Linked DNA regions of Saccharomyces cerevisiae S288C. The gene in region 1 interacts genetically with each later gene. Each region holds a gene or a part of one and is shown in the gene's direction. Other genes may lie near its edges. The genes, in order: SCP1, UBX3, HOT13 and PWP1.

Region 1 (5,021 bases):
CCTTCTAGCAGCTAATTCTTCAGTCGGCCTTTTCAATGCAGTGTAGAAGTCTTTCTTTTCTTGAGTCAAATCCACGGTTTTATTTCTCCAGTAACGAATCTCCTTTTTCAGTCTCGCTATGGTGGCATCCTTATTCGGATTCCTAGGGGCCGCCTGTCTGGCGACATCATATATACAAAAGAGGTTTTGTTTAGTACATCTGCCACATCTAGGTTTTTCCTGGTCACACTTCGTCTTTGCTTTTCTACAAGCTTGGCAAACAAAAGAAAGTCTATTCCTTTTTTTACCTACTCTATTCATTGCCGGTGATGATTCGTCTGTAAAGTACATCTTTTATCGAAGAAATTTTGTTCAGCAAGATCAGAAAGTGATATTTCATCCGCTCTATACGTTTCAGTAGATTTTCTTTATCTGACCTCTATTAAGTCCTAACAACGCTTTATGTTTTCTTCGTTGGAGATACTCCGGAGATTATATTTAGTTCCGAGATGGTCTTACAACCTTTCAAATTCCAAAATCAGAAGAAATTTTGCAGGAAGGCAAATCCTACCGGACGTATTAGTCACGATTTTATTTATTCACATATACAGATATTCACAGTTCGAATTTTGTTTACAAAGGTCAATCTTATTGATCTGCGGCTTTTGAATACCGTTGCATTCAAGAACGGCTTTCTTCATTTCGTGCAGTTCCGGGACCGATTCGTAAACCGCATCATCATCCATTTCACCCTTCAAAAAGGATCGTCTTTGATCATCAATAGGTTTGTATCTTGTATCAGGGTGTTTGTAGTATATTGCCATCGTAAAGCATATCAATATGAAAATGAAGAGATACAAAGAAAACGCTGCATTTAGAAAAAAGAAAATTAGTCCCATAAAAGAAGACACAGCTATGGGCTGCTGAAATAAGTTACTGAAAAATAAGAAAAAAAATGCGTTCACTAAATTCAGTGAATGGATACTAATATTGAAGAAGTTGGTTGTTTTATCCATGTAAGGTTGCATCCAGCACAAAAGGATGAGATAGATAGCTTCATTCAAAAAGATACCAATAGATTGAGATTTTCCGTGCGCTTGTAGAGAACCCACTAGTATAGACCTAATAAGCATGTGTGCAGAGGTCGCCATTAACCACCAGACTTTTGTAGACTTAAATTGAGAGGAAAGAAAGCCGAACTTGTTTAAGAATTTCGAGCTACTGAAGAGTAAATAGCTTGGCTGGCCAAATATTTTCTTAGACTTGATCATCTTCCTCCATATTCTTACGCTTGCGGATGATAACAAGACTGTAATCAAAATGAAAACAACGATTGCCTCCACTAAGGTAGCTGCTGAGTCTGTTTGAGTGAACTCCCAAAGTGCTAAAAGAGATATCTCAGAATAAATTATGAACACCGCTCGATATAGTGTCCCCTGTAAAAGTGCACTCCAATGTGTGTGGAAGTGTAAATATCTAATTGTCTTAACTTTAAACTTCTGAAGTACTTTCAAAAATGTTTTGAAGATAATAAACGCCAATATTATCATACAAATGAATATGATAAAGAAGGAAAATCCCGTTAAAAAGAAATTTGATATCTCAATTCCAGCTTTGTAAGACACCCTTTTAATACCTCTTAATACTAAAATTTTTGACAGATAGTCATTTGAATTTCTCAAATTTGAAGTGTATAATAAATCATTTTTTTGGGAACTTTCAATACCATTTAAATTACTTGACGCTGATATGATTTTACTGTTCAAGGATCTTTTTTGAACACTGATCGATAAAACTTCTTTATTGCGGTATACAACGGTGGGGGACCCAGATGTTGCGACAACATACCAGTCAAATAACCGCTGCATAAAATTTATCCTTATTATTCCCATTGACCATTGGAAATTTTGAGTCCAAGCGGCGACAATAGGCGGTAAAAATGATACACTAATCATAGCTAAAATAGCCAAATTTTGGAAATATAAAAGTAGCGATATTGAATAAGACGCCAGTCTTGTTGAAGTAACCGTATAACCTTGCAAAGAATAAACCACTGAAAACATAATTCCGGAAATTGTCAATATCACTAGATTCCACGATAAATACTCTGTTTGGACTGTTCTACCATTTGATAACATCACTTGTACACATGCTAGAGGTTTGGTAAATTCTTTATCAATAGTGGAGTATGCTGTCACCACAATATATGCGTCTAAGTCAGGTATATTATATGTTATGCTTGGTATTTGGCTAGCTACCGCGGCCTCAACATAATAACTTCCCATGAGTTCTATATTTCCCGGCTTCAACGGACATAATAAATTATCTTGGATTCCACATAGATCAAAAACTTTGGTATAAACATTGAGACCATATGCAATCAATTCTGCCTTGATGGTTATGTTTTCGCTCATAATTGTTTGTGCTTCAACATTAAAGAATAGAGTATTATTTCTCGGGAAAAAAGCAGCTTCGAAATACGATGCAGAAAACTGTGAGTCTTTAGCACAAGTCAACAGAGCCGAAGTCCTTAGATATTCTTTAGTATATGCATCAAATGGTACTGGGAATAGAGTCGATGCGTTGTTCAGTAGTGTAAAAGAGTTAGAAACCTGGAAAGTAGAGCTGTTAATGGAAATAGCGTGTATTTGTCGGAAGATTGCTAGCAAAACAAAAATCCGAGATAAAGAGAAGACTTTAATGGGAAGCATACTTATTCTCTTTACATCTATAAATCAGAGAGGTTAAATATTATTTAAAATAGCATTACGACTTTGCTTCATCATCCTTCCAAAATATTGACACTGCATCATTTTTTAAATGTGTCAGTAATTCGGGCACAAAAATATAAATGGACCGCCATGAACTAAAGCTGTCGTCGATATGGATCGCTCCATAGCAGCATTATAAAAATTAAAAATGCATCAATACCATGCTACAGTAATAACAAAATACAGCATGGATTACCACTACATATTCATCATGTCATGCATTATAGTTGTAACATATGCTGAACACCCATTCATCACGTGTAATTGGACATCCGTGGAGTTCCAAAAGGAGTATAAACGCAAATAGTAAAGCTAAGATATAAGTAGTGTCTAAGTAAATGACTTCTTTGTAAGCGTACAGCTAAAGTTTACCGATGAGTTACGATAAGAAGGCAGATGTCACATCCTTAGATGAAGATTTGAGACAACTAAGAGAAAGCAAATTTTCACCGGAAGCAATTCAAAATATCAAAATATGGGTATATAAATCTGTCCTAAAAGAGATAGCTCCTCCTGGAGACTTATTGGAATGCTTGAAAGATGGAACAGTCCTATGTAAGCTGGCAAATATTTTATATGAAGCAGACACAGGAGAAGCTAACCATATTAGTTGGAAGAGCTCTAAAATGCCATTTGTTCAAATGGATCAAATTTCCCAATTTTTATCATTTTCGAGAAAATATGGTGTGCCTGAAGATGAACTGTTTCAGACAATTGATCTTTTTGAGAAAAAGGATCCTGCCATTGTTTTCCAAACGTTGAAGTCACTATCTCGTTACGCCAACAAAAAACATACAGATAGATTTCCAGTTCTAGGACCACAACTGTCAACAAAGAAGCCAAGACCCCCGGTTAAGTCTAAACCAAAACATCTACAAGATGGTACTGGATGGAGCACTTTTGAATACGGTTATATGAAAGGTGCATCTCAGGCTACTGAAGGAGTGGTGTTAGGACAACGGAGAGATATAGTTTAGAGAATTATTATTAACACTTTCTCTGGCAGAAATTGATAAATAAACATTTAAGAACCCTATATACGCAACCAAAGTTCCTTTGATATATTTTAGTTTTCCATCAAAGTTTTCCTACATAAACACTAAGGTGGCTAGAGACGCGTAACAAAAGTTAACGTTACCGGTAAAAATGTGATTATACAAATCAATCTCACAGAACGGTGTGGAAACAAAGTAGTTGAAGGATTTCAACTATGCGAATCAACAGTGAGCTAGCGAACAAGTTTTCTGCCTCAACGGTGCACTTAGAACATATCACAACTGCTTTAAGTTGTTTAACACCTTTTGGTTCTAAAGACGATGTGCTTATATTCATTGATGCTGATGGGCTGTCATTTGTCAGGGAGAATAATCATGTGATAAAAATCCAACTACTGTTATCTCGGGAGCTATTTATGTCTTATTCGTATAGAAATGAAACTGAGGATCACATGAAACTTTGTGTAAAAATAAATCATATCTTAGATAGCGTTAGCGTGATGAACAGGAATTCGGATGACATTGTTGAGTGTACTTTATCTTATGATGGACATGGATCACCATTTGTACTAATATTTGAAGACTCGTTCATTTCTGAGAGAGTGGAGTACTCTACCTACTTAATTAAGGATTTTGATACTAATGGACTAGAACTCGATAGAGAAAGGATAAGCTTTGAGGCAATTATTAAGGGCGAAGCCCTTCATTCAGCCTTAAAGGATCTAAAAGAAATCGGATGCAAAGAGTGCTATGTATATGCAAAGACCGAGGCGAATGATGAGAATGTATTTGCCCTGATATCTAAATCTCAGCTAGGATTTTCTAAAATAAAATTACCCAGTAACAGATCCATACTAGAGAAGTTACAAGTATTTGACGGAGATTCCACAACAGTAATAGATGGTTTTGCTGTAATTGGGTTCTTCGATTTCACCTCGTTTGATAAAATCAGAAAGAGTACTAAAATTGCAAGCAAAGTCCTTTTCAGGATGGATGTTCATGGCGTATTGAGTGTAAATATTCTAAGTCAAACAGACGATGTCATTATCACTGATACTACAAGACCTTCAAATAATCGACCAGGTAGTATTCGCCAACTGCAGCTACCCAAGGATTATCCCGGTATAGTAATTGAGGTTTGCATGCTAGAAAAAGAATCCATAGATGAGGCAGCACAGACAGAAATAGAACTCCTGATGGAGACTAATGAACTTGGCAATCGTAATAGTTTTAAAAAATCAACTATAAGAAAAAGATATGGTACAGATAAAGGCAA
Region 2 (6,114 bases), on another chromosome or scaffold:
TACTTTAAAAGGCAGAAATAATGAGTCGAATAACAAAAAATATCCAATATTTACTGGTGAAAGTTGGGTCAAACTCACTTATAATTCTCCATCTTCTGCTTTGAGAGCACTGCAGGAAAATGGAACCATATTTCGCGGTTCTTTGATTGGTTGCATCCCATATTCAAAAAATGCGGTGGAGCAATTAGCTGGCTGCAAAATTGATAATGTCGACGACATTGGAGAATTCAACGTTTCTATGTATCAAAATTCCTCCACATCGTCGACATCTAATACACCATCCCCACCAAACGTAATAATAACTGATGGCACTCTTCTGAGGGAAGACGATAATACTCCTGCCGGTCATGCTGGTAATCCAACAAATATTTCAAGTCCAATAGTAGCAAATTCTCCGAATAAGCGGCTGGATGTAATAGATGGCAAATTGCCATTCATGCAAAATGCAGGACCGAATTCGAATATTCCTAATCTGTTGCGAAACCTAGAATCGAAAATGCGTCAGCAAGAAGCGAAATACAGAAATAATGAACCTGCTGGTTTTACGCACAAACTGAGTAATTGGTTATTTGGTTGGAATGACCTATAACAGAAATCGTCCAGCTAATTATTCATGAACATTTACAATACTTCATACATTTATTATTTTGATAACTTTTCAAACAGCATTGTTTTACTTTTGTTTATTGATTTTTACGTAACTGTATATACTTAGACATAATTAAGAAACGTTATCTTTTGTGATAGTTCTTCTTTTTCTTTGGAGAGCGAAGAATGGAATTAATATCATTCTTATTCAATACATTGAACTCTGAGCCTTCAAACCTTTTCTGTCGTGCGCTTAAAGGCGTTTTTCTCAATGGGCTCAGGGATTTCGATGGTCTATTTTGGTCTTGATTCGGCAGGTAAGCTCCGCCCTTCTCTAAATTTTCATTTGACGATGATTGAGCCAAATTGTTATCCAAAACTTTATCCCTATAATATGGGGACATTCTAGGAGAATAATGAAAACCAATGGGATGACTTTGATGGTCAGATACTTGAGAAATGCCTCCATAATCCTTTATTCTGGTTTCACGGGATCCTGGCACACTTTCTGTCATTTTCGGTAATGCCTCAAATTCCCTTTTTTCATAATTATAAACCTCTCTGATTTCTTCGCCACATAGGGAGTGAGTGGTGAATATTCTCGGTGTTTTAGATCTAGTACCCATTGCAGATGATAGAGTATCTATATTGCTGCATTGGTTAATTCGTGCCATTATATGCTTGTCCTCATATTCTTGCAAAGCTGCACTTGATAAAATCAAGTCGTCGTCCACGCTTCTTTGAAATCTCTTAGTTATGATATAATCCAGAATATATTGATGGAATACTATAGCAATTGCTGAAGTAAACGAAACATCAGAAAAGCTTAAAAAAACAATTGCCGTTGGTGAAAAAGACACAAAAAGATTAATCATGAAGTTAGTGGGGATCCATTTTCTTAACTGAAAAAATATCTCATCTTCATTTTGATTAACATGAGGACCGTCATCACGAGATCCTCTGAAAAAATGCTTCAACATAGACCACAAGGACTGCTTATAAATATCTTCATAGTATTCTTTGCTTAGATCCTTCAAGTTGTGTTTAGTGAGGTTTGGGGAGTTGAACTCTTTTTTCAAATGGAAGAGATTGTAAGTCTTAAAGTATCCAAACATGAATTTACAGCTTACGTACAGGTTCAGGGACAGCAGTATGAAAATAGTAAACCTGAAAAGATTATTCAAAAACCTTAAGGTAACAAAATACCAAGATTGAAATGCATAAAATTGATTATTGTTTTGAAAGCTGGATGATATCTCCCATAGATAATCAAACTCTTTTAATTTATTGGATTTAGAAAGATCGAAAGCGCCAGACTTGACGTTTAGTTTGTAATAGTTGGGCTTGATCAAATTGTCCTGCAAGAGTCTTATGATAAAAAAAAGTATTGTTAAAAAATTCCCTAATGGCTTAGCTAGACTTTTAGCATAAGCATCCCAGTTGATCATTTCTAACTTTTCATTTATTACCAACTGCAAGTCTAAAGGAGAAGTAAGTAGCTGATACCACCTCTTCATCCATGCAGATTTTGATTCTCTTTCCTCACCAACTACTTCCGAGTCGTCATATGCTTCATTTATCAAATCATTTGAACCCATTTTACTGCCGAAGGTAAATGTAAAGCTCTCTACTGCACAACAAAGTTTTTTAGGTTGTTCGTTTCACTAACTTCTAAATATTGTCAATCAAACCAGACTTTAAGGAAACTACCACTTGTCCCAACGGCCTCACCCCTTTTAATACGGTGTTAACTTCTTCCTTTATATATTGCAGGGCTATTTTTCCCTCCTTTCGCTATTGAAAGAGATCACTATTCCCGTGCTCTGTTCTGATTAAGTAGGAGGACAAAAACACTTGTAACTTAATCCACCTATTCTTATTATTTCTGGCTAACGTTAGAGGTCTTGAAGCGAAACTGTTTAACATTGTAACTTATTAATCTTTTCGTATAAGCTGTTGCCTGATTAGGAAAGCTTGAAACTGAAACACGCGAAAGTGGCTAGGATAAACCAAGCAAGGGTCCATATCATCGCCGTTCTTATGCAGAAACAACTGCAGTGCTTGTAAAGCTATAGGCAATCAAAGCGTATGCGACAGAGAGTAGGAAGGTCCATAGCTAGGGCTAAATTTATAAATACTGCCTTATTAGGAAGAAAGAGACCAGTTATGGAAAGAGTCGTCGATATAGCGCATGTAGATTCAAGTAAAGCAATCCAACCATTGATGAAGGAACTAGAAACCGACACTACAGAAGCACGATACAAAGTACTACAAAGTGTATTAGAGATATACGATGATGAAAAGAATATAGAACCTGCTCTCACGAAAGAGTTTCACAAAATGTACTTGGATGTCGCTTTTGAGATATCGTTACCTCCACAAATGACAGCACTAGATGCTTCACAACCGTGGATGCTATATTGGATTGCTAACTCATTGAAGGTAATGGACAGAGACTGGCTTTCAGATGACACCAAAAGAAAAATTGTAGATAAGCTCTTTACTATTAGTCCTTCAGGAGGACCCTTTGGTGGAGGTCCTGGCCAATTATCTCATTTGGCCAGCACTTATGCTGCAATTAATGCTCTCTCCCTTTGCGATAACATAGATGGATGCTGGGACAGAATTGATCGAAAAGGAATTTACCAATGGCTGATATCGTTGAAAGAGCCTAATGGAGGATTCAAGACCTGTTTAGAAGTCGGAGAAGTGGATACAAGAGGTATATACTGTGCCTTGAGCATAGCAACCTTATTAAATATTCTTACAGAAGAGCTTACAGAAGGTGTGTTAAACTATTTGAAAAATTGTCAAAATTATGAAGGTGGATTCGGCAGTTGTCCTCACGTAGATGAGGCACACGGAGGCTATACTTTCTGTGCTACAGCTAGTCTAGCAATTTTAAGGTCCATGGACCAAATAAATGTTGAAAAGCTTTTAGAATGGTCTAGTGCTCGTCAATTGCAAGAAGAACGAGGATTTTGCGGAAGGAGCAACAAACTTGTTGACGGTTGCTATAGTTTTTGGGTTGGAGGTTCGGCTGCCATTCTTGAAGCTTTTGGATATGGCCAATGCTTCAACAAACATGCTCTTCGGGACTACATATTGTACTGTTGCCAAGAAAAAGAGCAACCTGGTTTGAGAGATAAACCAGGGGCCCACTCAGACTTTTACCATACAAATTATTGCCTATTAGGACTGGCTGTTGCGGAAAGTTCATACAGTTGCACTCCTAATGATTCTCCACATAATATTAAGTGTACTCCAGACCGCCTAATTGGATCATCGAAACTTACTGATGTCAACCCTGTCTATGGTTTACCAATAGAAAATGTAAGAAAAATTATCCACTACTTTAAATCCAATTTATCTTCTCCAAGTTAACCACATACTATTATATATATGTATTCAATCTCCTTAGCGGTCAGTCTCTTTCCAATTTCTTTCTCTTTACGTTATCATTGTCCTTTATTCGACACTTCGGCGACCGCTTTTAAAACGATAATAACAAAGCGAAATCTTATTGTAACACATCCTTGCTTAATTACATACGAAGCAAAAAGTGAGAGTAAGTTCAAAAACAGCGGGCAATCGTACTCCCAAATTTTGTTGTACCTCATCAATCGGCTTGACTGCGATTTAAACATACCCTTTAAACATGGATATATTTAGGCATACTTTTGGAAATAATGATGATTCCTTTATTCGAATCCCAGGTGCTTTTAGAGAAGAACCACCTGCTGATTTGAATGGAAGGACAGAAGATCAAAACAGCAATACAAATGAACCCACACAGAGCCGGGATGGACGCTTAAAATCAATACTCCATTTTTTATTTCAAGCTCCCCTAATAGTTCTTTATTATTTATTGAATTTCATTGTCCGAAGTTCACGTCTTTTAAAACCTCTATTAAGACTTCACGGATTCTACCAGAGGAAGCACAACCGTTTACTAGACCACAGTTCCCAATTACACCGTCTTTTAGAAAATCTAGAAAACGAAGCTCAAGCTGTAACGTGTTCTGAAGGTAACGGGAATAATGATGATGGCAGCAATACTGACAGTACGAGCAACAATGAGAGCAGTGGGGTCCAGTTTAGTTTTGGTTCTTTATACAACCCTGAAAATGGAACATTTTCCAAAAGCATTATGCAAAATAGTTACACTGAATTATTGGATGCTTGTAGCGAACAAGTGAAATTTGGAGTCATTTATTTACATGACCCATTGTTGGATAATCATATGGATTACGTTAATAAAATATTGTGCTCAGAAGCCTTTGTTAACATGATAAGGAAGTACCAGGTATTACTATGGTATGGTGACGTTACTACATCCGAGGGGTTGCAAGTTTCCAATGCATTAAAAATTAGGCAATATCCCCTACTTGGAATAATTTCTTTAAAGGCTGAGAAAAAAATAGAGTTAATAGCAAGAGTTGAAGGTTCTATTTCTAACTACAAAGCCCAAGATTTGGAGGCCATATTCTCCAAGAATTATTCTCGATTAATTCAATTGCGTCAGCAAAGACAAAATATTGAAATGCAGAGATTAATAAGACAACAACAGGATTCAAGATACCAGGATTCCTTAAGACGTGATCAACAAAGAGAATCAGAAAGATTGGAACAGACCCAAAGAGAACAAATGGAAAGAGAGCACCAAAGAATAGAAAACCAATGGCTATTGTGGAGAAAAAGCCAACTAAAACCCGAACCCTCTTCTGATAAAGATGCAAGCAAAGTTGCGATCAGACTAGAAAATGGGCAGAGATTAGTGAGAAAGTTTGACGCATCTCTACCAACGGAGGAGATATATGCCTTCGTAGAATTACAGTTGCATGACATGTTGAACTCAGAAAACGATACTTTACCCGTATACCAACCTGCTAATTATCAGCACCAGTATAGCTTCAAATTGATCACGCCGGTACCAAGAAGAGAGCTTGATTTATCTACCAAAATATCTGACGTTAGCGGCATATATCCATCAGGAAATATTGTAATGGAACGCCTGGACGAATGAAAGGAATTTCAAAAATAGTCATCTCAAAACGTTTATTCTAAAGTTTAGTTAAATTTATATCTACACAACTTTATGCAATTAATCTTTTATATCTACGTTGCCATCCTTTAATCTACACATCCAAAGATAACAAGAGGCGCACATGCCTTTTGACTCAAGTGTCACGTGCATCAGTTTTTCTTCGCTACCTTGTTTTTCTTTCCTGTCTTACTGATGGTACCGTTCTTACTCTTCTTTTTCTTCTTCTTGATCAAATTCTGCATGCCCCCCTTAAATACAGATGAATACTCTTGCCAAAATTGATCTAACTCACTTGCTTTTACCACTGTTGAGCATTTTGTTTTCTTGTCATGCGAGCCATAAGACATTCTGATTAATAGTGGGTATTCTCTGTCAGATCTTGAGCTAACTGAAATTTCAGAAGCCTTTTTAGATACATCATAGTCAGGATGGTTGGTAGAATCAAATTCAAGATTCCCTTCCACAGGATCGTGTTCTAT
Region 3 (4,986 bases), on another chromosome or scaffold:
CGAGATAAATAAGTGGTTGTTGCTGCGAGTTTGCATCGTTCAGATCGGTGGAATAGAAATCGATTACGTAGTCGACGGTTTTACCGCATCTATCTATCTGCCAATCATGTCTATCAAAAGGTTTGGCCAGGTGCAAGATACGGGACCTGAACCAGGCCCTTGGTGTCAGTTTTTTGGAATCACCTTTAAAATTTGTTAATTTGATACCGCCACACGCTTCACCACCCTGCTTGTCTTCCCAGCTTTTAATGTAGTTCCAAACCCGCTCATTGATGGAGTTATGTAAAGGCACAACCACCTTCATGTCATCTGAGTTCGGATCCCAATTTTTTTTCATCATTGCCTCGTAAAATTGTTTCTCCGACGGGTATATCCAGTTTCTGTCAGAATTCGTCCTTGGTATGGTGGAAACCTCTCTGGACTGAGAGAGATCCACCGTGGTGTGATATTCAGGCGTTTTATCGTTATCTTGTGGGTTTGCAGAGCACTCTAGTTGATTGCCTGGGGCAGTAGCACCAGGATGCGCTTCGTTGCCATGTTCTCGTAGCCATAACTTTTTGGTTTCCTCATCTACGGGGCATTTCCCCTGTTGGTCTGAAGACATCATAATATGTAAAATAGAGACGAATGAAAAGCACGTGAACTAACAAACTATTTACTACTACCGAAATGTGATGCTTAAGCCTTTGGCCTCTGCAATACTAGCGATTGCTTTTTCCCTGATTAGTAAGCTACATCATTTATACTACATCTTTCTGTCTTAGAAGGCTTACAAACATCGAAAAGCTGGAACTTTGATTTCGAAAAAAATATGCCGTTACCCGTTGCGGGTCCCTTTTTTTTAGAAGGCCGGCCCAGAAGTCGCCATTATTTTTAGTCATTACAGTAGCCCTGTTGGGTAAGGATGCGATGCAATACATGTCAAGAGGTGTTGTATATAAACCACAATATCTACCATCAATGAGCTATATATACTTTTCTTACTGAAAAAAAAAACTACAAAACCAAGTAAAAAAAGAACAATATGTCACTACAAAGCAACAGTGTAAAACCAACAGAAATTCCTCTCTCAGAGATCAGACGCCCCCTAGCGCCTGTGTTGGATCCTCAAAAGATCGACGCAATGGTGGCCACAATGAAGGGCATTCCCACCGCTAGCAAGACATGCTCTCTAGAACAGGCTGAGGCGGCTGCCTCAGCCGGGGAACTGCCGCCCGTGGACGTGCTGGGCGTGCGAGTCAAGGGACAGACGCTATATTATGCCTTCGGCGGCTGCCACCGTCTACAGGCATACGACCGCCGGGCTCGCGAAACGCAGAACGCCGCCTTCCCCGTGCGCTGCAGGGTGCTACCGGCCACTCCCCGCCAAATCCGCATGTACCTGGGCAGCAGTCTCGACATCGAATAATGATTACGCTAATAACACTACATAAGAAACATAGATAAATTATAATTCACTAATACAAAATCCCTCAATTTAATTAATCAATTTCTTATTCAACAACTAGAGTAGGCACTAGCAGTTTGTGCGACCCTCGGCGCCGGAGAGGTACAAGGGACCTGGCGGTTGGGCCTTCCTGCCAGCTTCTCCCCCCCTTCTCGGCATTCACTCAGCGTTCATTGGCTCAATCACGCGCCAAGCGGATTCCCAGAAAAATACAAAAAAAAGTTGCCATAATACAATGGCGGATATTACAATATATATAGCTTGCGCTTTAAAAAGAAGTGTTAGCACGCATTGGGTGTTTGTACTGTATTCCTCCACTTAAGATAACGAATACACATATAGATATACAATATATTATACGTGGACATCTACGGAAAGGAAGAAAAAAAACAAAAGGAAAAGGAAGGATACCATATACAATGTTGTCAAGAGTAGCTAAACGTGCGTTTTCCTCTACAGTTGCCAACCCTTATAAAGTGACTGTTTTGGGTGCAGGCGGTGGTATTGGACAACCATTGTCTTTGCTTCTAAAGCTTAACCATAAAGTCACGGACTTAAGACTGTACGACCTAAAGGGCGCAAAAGGTGTTGCCACCGATTTGTCTCATATTCCAACAAACTCCGTGGTCAAGGGGTTTACTCCAGAAGAGCCAGACGGATTGAACAACGCTTTAAAGGACACAGACATGGTTTTAATTCCTGCTGGTGTGCCCAGAAAGCCTGGTATGACACGTGATGACTTGTTCGCCATCAACGCAAGCATCGTTCGCGATTTGGCAGCAGCAACCGCCGAATCCGCTCCCAATGCTGCCATTCTGGTCATTTCCAACCCAGTCAATTCTACCGTTCCAATTGTCGCCCAAGTCTTGAAAAACAAGGGTGTTTACAACCCAAAGAAATTGTTCGGTGTGACTACCTTGGACTCTATTAGAGCCGCCAGATTCATCTCAGAAGTCGAGAACACCGATCCAACTCAGGAAAGGGTTAACGTCATCGGTGGACATTCTGGTATTACCATCATCCCATTGATTTCGCAAACAAACCATAAGTTGATGTCTGATGACAAGAGACACGAATTGATTCACAGAATACAGTTTGGTGGTGACGAAGTCGTCAAAGCAAAGAATGGTGCTGGCTCTGCTACGTTGTCAATGGCCCATGCTGGTGCTAAATTCGCTAACGCTGTTTTGTCCGGTTTCAAAGGCGAAAGAGACGTCATCGAGCCTTCCTTCGTGGACTCTCCCTTGTTCAAATCCGAAGGCATCGAATTCTTTGCATCTCCGGTCACTTTGGGCCCAGATGGTATTGAAAAGATCCATCCAATAGGTGAGTTATCTTCAGAAGAAGAAGAAATGCTACAAAAATGTAAAGAAACCTTGAAGAAGAATATCGAAAAGGGTGTCAACTTTGTTGCTAGTAAATAGATTGTTCAAGATCAGAAATAGAGTGAAAAATAGGGAAAAAAAAAAAAAAATTCTACTAATAAGAACGGAAGACTACTCGCCATCATGAGATTACGACATCTTTTTTATTTAATTCTTTGTTATATTTAGCCAATTGAAAGGAAGGAAACTGCCAAAAATCAACTAGAGAAAAATTCATGCTATTCGTTGCTCCTACACCTTTTTTTCTTCCGTAGACGAGGAAAAACAAAAATGATTAAATAGGCGCGCGCGGTGTGATGGTGATGATAATGATGATGATGATGATAATGATGAATAAACGTTTCGGTTTACGAGTTTCTTTAAATATACATATATGATATAAAAAAAAAAATACGTACCACTTACAATTTGCAAATATAGATGATCGAAACTGCCATTTATGGTAAGACAGTGGATGACCAATCTCGATGTGTCCACTGGCATCTTCCAAAGGATGTAATTGCCATCAGGTTTAAATGTTGTGATAAGTACTATGCGTGCTTTGAATGCCACCAAGAGTTAAGTTCTCACCCGCTAGAAAAATATGATCTCCTTGACGATGCAAATAAACACTTGATTATTTGCGGAGTTTGCCGTCATGAAATGACGTTTGCAGAGTATTACGACTACAATTCAAACCTTATTTGTCCCAATTGCAGATCCCCCTTTAATCCAGGCTGTAAATTGCACTACCATTTGTATTTCCAGAACCCTCCCCCCGCTATGTGTTGAGTGTTGTTCTATAAATGCATGCCATCTTAAGCTCTGCTGTGCTCTTCTCGTTAAGGAAAAAATGCGATGGTATATATATAGATATATATATATATATATGTATCTGTATATATATGTTCATACATATATATATATCTATTATTGTTGTTATTATTATCGTGATTATTATTTAGGTCCTCCCTTCTTTTTACCTGTTTTTAATCTACCCTCAAATCCGGCTCTTTTCTTTGGTACGGCACTACCGACATACTTTCTTTTCATCTTTTCTTGCTTATTTCTCTTTTTACCCTTGTTGTCTTTCCTAATCCTCAGATTCTCTTCTCTTCTCTTTTGTCTTTCAGATATCGTGTCTTCCACAACCCTCTTACGTTCGCTCCATTCAATCGCAGACTTTCTCTTTTGTGCTTCCTTTCTCTTTATAGCTTTGCGAAGTAGTTTTTCGTCATCCCTAATCTTAATTCCTTCTGCTTGTAACATAGCCTTTTGCCATTTTTCCTTTTCCTTCTGCTTGATTTGTTCTAGTTCGTCTTTCGCCTCCATCTTATTCTTCTTGGCTTCTAATAACTTTAAGTGTGATTTTACATCATTCTTAGCCGGACCCTTCGTTCTACCAGCTTTTCTTAACCTTTGTAAATCTGAAGTGGCCCTTGCACCATCATCGAATATGATATTTTGAAACATTACACCATCTGCGTTAATTTCTGAGTCCTTCTTGCCTTTTTTGAATCTTTTTTTCGAATTGTTTTCTAAATCACTATCGATGTCTTCCATATCGGAATCAGACGCAATTTCATCCTGATCCTGTTCCTGTTCACTTTCTAGACGCTTTCTTTTTTTCAACTCTTCCTTGCGTTTCCTTTGAGCAAGAATAGCCTCTCTAGAACCGGGTGCTTTCCTTTTACTCTTCATATCTGAAATTTTCGCTTGTAACTTGGAACGTAGTGCTTCCAAGTTTTTCTTTCTTTGTAGTTTCTCTTCCTCTGTAATAGACTTCTTTTCGACAGATCTATCGGGCTCTGTAGTATCTTTTTTAGATTCTAATGGTATTTCATTTCCCTCATCATCAAAGATCACCTTAATATCCTCTTCCTCTTCTTCATCTTCGTCTGGTGCTATTATCATAGGATCGTTTACTTCTACGTTCAGGTCGGAGTCTCCTTCCACTTTTGATGTTGCTTCCTTTTGCTTTTGCATTTTCATGTGCTTGAATTTTTCACCAGGTAGGACCACCGGCTTTGCGTCTTTCTCCTTCTTCTTCATTACTTCTAATGTACTAGATGTTTCATCATCACGTTGCTCCGGGTCTAATTTTTTCAGTTTATCATTTTTACTCTGTTCTTTGGTTTTCTTCTTGGCCTTCCATTGCTCTTGACTTTTTTCATC
Region 4 (6,066 bases), on another chromosome or scaffold:
CTGCACAGAGGCAGTTGAAGTTGTGCTTACGGCAGAGTTGCTTTCGGCCACCCACCATAGGTACTGTGTCGTGGTTTTGCCTTGTGCATCCGTCGTCACTACGGTGGTACTTGGAGCCACAGCATAGGTGTTGCTGACGACGTTGCTAGTTTGTACTAAGCTTTTTCCGGTAGAAACTACAGTTGATGCGCTTTCTTGGGCTTCCTTTGTCGTGGTAGGTGTGATCTCTTGAGAGTTTGAGCTTTCCTTTTGTGAGCTATCTTCAGAGTTCTGGCCATCTAAGGAACCAGAGTCTTTTTGAGCAGCGGCTAGAGTAATTAAGGTGGTAAATAATATGGAACAGGCCTTCATTTTATATATATGTTGGGTTTGTTTATATTTTCACTAGATCGGTGAGTATCTAGTCCAGAAGAGTTGATCTTTCTTACATACTTATATATGCTCACTACCGCCTTCTGAGAAAGTAGGCGTTTTTCAGCTACCTCAGTCGCTAAAAATAAATGCGAGTTCTCAAGCCAACTTGGACTCCAAGGCGGTAATTATAGTGATTCTCTTTGTCTATTTTTGGATTTATTTTGGAGGCTGACACTCTAAAGCCAGCCATTGGATTAATTATTTTTTCACTTCGTCAATTGACTATGCGGAAAAACTAAATGTGGTCAAATTCTGTCGGCTATGTACACGAAAACTATATACGCCTCGTCCTTTCAGCCACTACAACATAACAACACCGACATTGCTACGCCTTTTAATGTCGTTACTATTGTCGGGATTCAAGCCACCGGTAATCGGCTTTGCTCTATAATTAAATAAATAGAAGTTCAAGAACCCGTCACCGGGCCCGAACTTCAAATCATCCAAGAACAATGTATTATCTTGCGAAGTCAACGCGTTAAAAACATCCATATTAGCGTTTTTGGCCAAAATACAAGCGTCATAAATCAATTCACACAATCTTGTTTTCAAAGCCTTAGTAGCTTTTGGATCAAACCTGTCTTTGAATTGGAAATCTGCATCGGTGGCATAATAATACAAGTACCCGATGCCTAGGTCCTTATATTTTGTGTTATTTAGGATTGTGAATGGCAATGAGTAAAATGAGAAGAAGTCTGTAATTTTTCCATCGGGCTGTTCGACTACATATGAGAAAATTACTTGTTTATCCAATGGTAACGATTCTTCACCAATGAAATTATGTTCGAATTCTTCTTTTGTGAAAATTTGAATTAGTTCGAACCTGGATTGATATCTTTTGAACAACTCAAAAACTTGGTCAATATCTTCCTTCTTTAATTTTCTCAATCCCGCTGTCTTTGTTTTGGCCGGTAACGCATTCTCAGCAATCATATCCTCCTCTGTGTGCCCATCTGGTAACCCTGTGAAATCTACTTCATAAAGTTTCTTCCAATTCAAGGGACGATGAGTATAACGACACGTACTCACAGGTGCTGGCAAAACAATACCTGCCGTGTACAATGCATGCCAGATGTCACATTTGTTCACTCGTCTCGTAATTTCTTTAATTAGAACAGGTGTTAATCTCTTCGATCTTAGCTGTTTGTGAACGCACAAGAAATTGATTTCTACACTAGGCACTTGTTTACCTCTAACACCAAGTGTTACTGGTATGGCTGAGATAAAGGCAACTAATTTCTGTGTTTCTTTAACGCGAACACCAATATGCCAATCCTTCTTCCAACCTGGACTCTTTAAAGCCCAATTGAAGAATTCTTTGGTATAGTTAAATCTGAAGCCTGCATCGCGGTCTTCCACGTAGTTTTCATTTAGTAGAACGAAAACATCTTCAAGCTGTTTTTTGTTGTCCACATCAATACTACACCATTCGAAGCTAGACAATAAAGGTAGTGGCTTGTCAGATATATCTTCCGGTGTCTTTGGCTTATCAATGGGGCCTTCTTCCACCACCTTTTCATCGAAATCTTTGACCGGTTGCGTTCTCCAGAATTTGTGGTCTTTCATAGCTTTTTTCTGTTCTTGAGTGAATTTTGAAGTATCGTCATTATTCAACTGTAATAACTTCAATAAATTCTCTAATTTTTTCGCTTTATCCTCTTCTGACATTCTATAAATACGTTTACTACCGAAGCTCTATGACAACCAGAGCTATTGTACAGATCATTCTCTAAAAAGCGTGCAACACATATCATCTTCAATTATAGTGAATTACTTTTATCATGAGCAACGGCTGAAATTATTTTATCCTATTGTTTTATGACAGTATCCTTTCAAAAGAGTCGAAAGGATCCTCTGTTGCAAGAACTACTATTACGTAATTATACATAGTCCGCCTGCAATTTCTAGTGAGACTTTGCTTTGCTTTCCACTTTGCGATTAATATTGAGAATTTTAAACGTTAACTGAATTCTTACCCACCCATAATAAGAACTCTAACTGGCGAATTTATCATGAAACAAATCTGCAAGAATAAAAAATTAGAGAATCGTGCAATTCAATTTAATTGCCTTGTCCGTTGTAAAACTTTTCCATAGGCCCTACCTTGAGTTGATCATATGTATTATTCTATATATATTATATCCAGTCGGGTAATAAATTTTCTCGCCCTCGAAAAAAAGAAGTGAAAAATTTGTCTCGATGAGCTGAGATGAGTTTGAAAGAAGCAAAGAGTTTTAATTTGTAAACGATAGCAAGTGTACCCTCAGTTGAGTCTATTACGCCTTCCTTATTTGGAAACTTAGAAGACGAATAAAAAAAACAAAATAACTAATGATTTCTGCTACTAATTGGGTTCCAAGAGGGTTTTCCTCGGAATTTCCTGAAAAGTATGTTCTGGATGATGAGGAAGTGGAAAGAATTAACCAATTAGCACAGTTGAATTTGGATGATGCTAAAGCTACTTTGGAAGAAGCAGAAGGCGAATCAGGTGTTGAAGATGACGCCGCAACAGGTAGTTCTAATAAGTTGAAGGATCAGTTGGATATAGATGATGATTTGAAAGAATATAACCTGGAAGAATATGACGATGAGGAAATTGCAGATAATGAGGGTGGTAAAGACGTTTCCATGTTCCCGGGTTTAAGTAATGATAGCGATGTTAAATTCCATGAGGGTGAAAAAGGTGAAGATCCATATATTTCATTGCCTAATCAAGAGGATAGTCAAGAGGAGAAGCAGGAGTTACAAGTTTACCCATCCGATAATTTAGTTCTTGCTGCGAGAACAGAAGATGACGTTTCGTATTTGGATATCTACGTTTACGATGACGGTGCTGGGTTCCACAGTAGCGATATTCCCGTTGAAGAAGGTGATGAAGCTGACCCAGATGTTGCTCGTGGATTGGTTCGTGACCCTGCACTTTACGTTCACCATGATTTAATGTTGCCTGCTTTTCCACTATGTGTTGAGTGGCTTGACTACAAGGTTGGATCCAATTCCGAAGAAGCAGCCAATTATGCTGCCATTGGTACGTTTGATCCACAAATTGAAATTTGGAACTTGGACTGTGTTGACAAGGCCTTTCCCGATATGATTCTGGGTGAACCTCTTGATAATTCAATGGTGTCTTTGAAAAGCAAAAAGAAGAAGAAGAAGTCTAAGACTGGACACATTACTACTCATCATACCGATGCTGTTTTATCCATGGCACACAACAAATATTTCCGTTCCGTTTTAGCATCCACCTCTGCAGATCATACCGTAAAACTATGGGATTTGAACTCAGGTAACGCAGCCCGCTCCTTAGCTTCCATTCATTCAAACAAAAATGTTTCATCATCTGAATGGCACATGTTGAATGGTTCCATTCTTTTGACCGGTGGTTATGATTCTCGAGTAGCTTTAACAGATGTTAGAATTTCTGACGAAAGTCAAATGAGTAAATACTGGTCTGCCATGGCAGGTGAGGAAATAGAAACTGTTACATTTGCCAGTGAAAATATAATATTATGTGGTACTGATTCTGGTAATGTGTATTCTTTCGATATTAGAAACAATGAAAACCGTAAACCAGTTTGGACATTGAAGGCACACGATGCTGGTATCTCCACATTATGTTCAAACAAATTCATCCCTGGTATGATGAGTACAGGGGCCATGGGTGAAAAGACTGTCAAATTATGGAAATTCCCCTTGGATGATGCTACGAACACTAAGGGCCCAAGCATGGTTCTGTCTCGTGATTTCGATGTCGGAAATGTATTGACATCGTCATTCGCTCCAGACATCGAGGTAGCGGGTACCATGGTCATTGGTGGTGTCAATAAAGTTTTGAAACTATGGGACGTTTTTACCAATAGATCTGTACGTAAGAGCTTTAAAAGTGAACTAGAGAATGTTCAAGCAAGAGCAAAAGAAGAAGCCCAAAAAATAGGAAAAAGTTCAAGAATCGCCAGAAAATACACCAGTAACGATAACCCAGATACTGTTATAACCATTGATGATCAAGGTGAAGATGAAGAAGAAAGAGAAGGTGGAGATGAGCATGATGACATGGCATAATCTGGATATGAAAAATATTAAAGCAGAGTACATTGCAAGTACAAATAAAAAATCTATAGAAGATAATACTGTATACTAGTGTAAGAGGAGCCTCAGAAAAAAACAATATAATACATTAATATGTGCTGTTACGGTATAATTTAGCATATGATGACAATGTGGTGAATTACAGTTGTGTAACTTTTTTATATCACCCGGCATATATACGCTCGTAGAATGCGATGTGAAAATTTTCTTTTTTTTTTTTTTTCAAAGTGAAATTTTTTTGAGTGATGAGATGGGAAATGAAAAATTTTGTGCAATTGCGTAGTGTCTACAGTTTTTTAAGTAGTTATTAAAAGTGTTTTGGAAGGTATATTTCTAGGAGAAGAAGCGTGCAGAACAGTATTTAGTGAAAGATGGCTCCTATTGAATACCTACTGTTTGAAGAACCTACTGGTTACGCAGTTTTCAAGGTTAAGTTGCAACAAGATGACATTGGTTCAAGATTAAAAGAAGTTCAAGAGCAAATCAATGATTTTGGTGCTTTTACAAAGTTAATCGAACTTGTATCTTTCGCGCCATTCAAAGGTGCTGCTGAAGCCCTTGAAAATGCTAACGACATATCAGAAGGTTTAGTCTCTGAGAGTTTGAAAGCTATCTTGGATTTAAACTTACCAAAGGCTTCCTCGAAAAAGAAGAACATTACTTTGGCTATTTCCGATAAAAACTTAGGTCCTTCTATTAAGGAAGAATTTCCATATGTTGATTGTATTTCAAATGAACTTGCTCAGGATTTGATTCGTGGTGTCAGATTACATGGCGAAAAATTATTCAAAGGTCTACAATCTGGTGACTTAGAAAGAGCCCAATTAGGTTTAGGTCACGCTTACTCCAGAGCTAAAGTGAAGTTCTCTGTTCAAAAGAACGACAATCACATCATTCAAGCTATTGCTTTATTAGATCAATTAGATAAAGATATCAACACTTTTGCTATGAGAGTTAAAGAGTGGTATGGCTGGCATTTCCCCGAACTGGCTAAATTGGTACCAGACAACTACACTTTTGCCAAGTTGGTTCTTTTTATCAAGGACAAAGCTTCATTAAACGATGACTCCTTACATGATTTGGCTGCTCTTTTGAATGAGGATTCGGGAATTGCACAAAGAGTCATTGACAATGCCCGTATCTCCATGGGACAAGATATATCAGAAACCGATATGGAAAATGTTTGTGTTTTCGCTCAGAGAGTCGCTTCCTTAGCTGATTACAGAAGACAATTATACGATTACTTATGCGAAAAAATGCACACTGTTGCACCAAACTTATCAGAATTGATTGGTGAAGTGATTGGTGCTAGATTAATTTCTCACGCAGGTTCCCTAACTAATTTATCTAAGCAAGCAGCTTCAACGGTTCAAATTCTTGGTGCTGAAAAGGCTTTGTTCAGAGCTTTAAAAACTAAAGGTAACACTCCAAAATACGGTTTGATTTACCACAGTGGTTTTATTTCTAAGGCCTCTGCCAAGAACAAGGGTCGTATTTCTAGATACTTGGCTAACAAATGTTCTATGGCCTCTAGAATTGACAATTACTCTGAGGAACCATCTA

The links.
Region 2: mutations in SCP1 (region 1) and UBX3 together harm fitness more than expected from each alone (negative genetic interaction), as found in Saccharomyces cerevisiae (one large-scale study listed by BioGRID).
Region 3: mutations in SCP1 (region 1) and HOT13 together harm fitness more than expected from each alone (negative genetic interaction), as found in Saccharomyces cerevisiae (one large-scale study listed by BioGRID).
Region 4: mutations in SCP1 (region 1) and PWP1 together harm fitness less than expected from each alone (positive genetic interaction), as found in Saccharomyces cerevisiae (one large-scale study listed by BioGRID).

What each region holds. Positions count from the first base shown.
Region 1 is NC_001147.6:1,022,883-1,027,903, forward strand, and holds SCP1 (Scp1p), read left to right. Parts: upstream 1-3,124; coding exon 3,125-3,727; downstream 3,728-5,021. Other genes in the region: oleate-activated transcription factor PIP2, read right to left, coding at 1-330; YOR365C (putative flavin adenine dinucleotide transporter), read right to left, coding at 579-2,690; RAD17 (Rad17p), read left to right, coding at 3,961-5,021. UniProt on the Saccharomyces cerevisiae protein: Has actin-binding and actin-bundling activity. Stabilizes actin filaments against disassembly.
Region 2 is NC_001136.10:292,892-299,005, reverse strand, and holds UBX3 (clathrin-mediated endocytosis regulator UBX3), read left to right. Parts: upstream 1-4,246; coding exon 4,247-5,614; downstream 5,615-6,114. Other genes in the region: FG-nucleoporin ASM4, read left to right, coding at 1-589; NUR1 (Nur1p), read right to left, coding at 732-2,186; RAM1 (protein farnesyltransferase), read left to right, coding at 2,677-3,972; RNA-binding signal recognition particle subunit SRP14, read right to left, coding at 5,785-6,114.
Region 3 is NC_001143.9:277,257-282,242, forward strand, and holds HOT13 (Hot13p), read left to right. Parts: upstream 1-3,252; coding exon 3,253-3,603; downstream 3,604-4,986. Other genes in the region: cytochrome c1 heme lyase CYT2, read right to left, coding at 1-607; SRX1 (sulfiredoxin), read left to right, coding at 1,025-1,408; malate dehydrogenase MDH1, read left to right, coding at 1,867-2,871; ribosome biosynthesis protein RRP14, read right to left, coding at 3,769-4,986. UniProt on the Saccharomyces cerevisiae protein: Required for the assembly or recycling of the small Tim proteins in the mitochondrial intermembrane, thereby participating in the import and insertion of multi-pass transmembrane proteins into the mitochondrial inner membrane.
Region 4 is NC_001144.5:541,223-547,288, forward strand, and holds PWP1 (rRNA-processing protein PWP1), read left to right. Parts: upstream 1-2,745; coding exon 2,746-4,476; downstream 4,477-6,066. Other genes in the region: NCW2 (Ncw2p), read right to left, coding at 1-351; glycylpeptide N-tetradecanoyltransferase NMT1, read right to left, coding at 715-2,082; snoRNP complex protein NOP56, read left to right, coding at 4,875-6,066.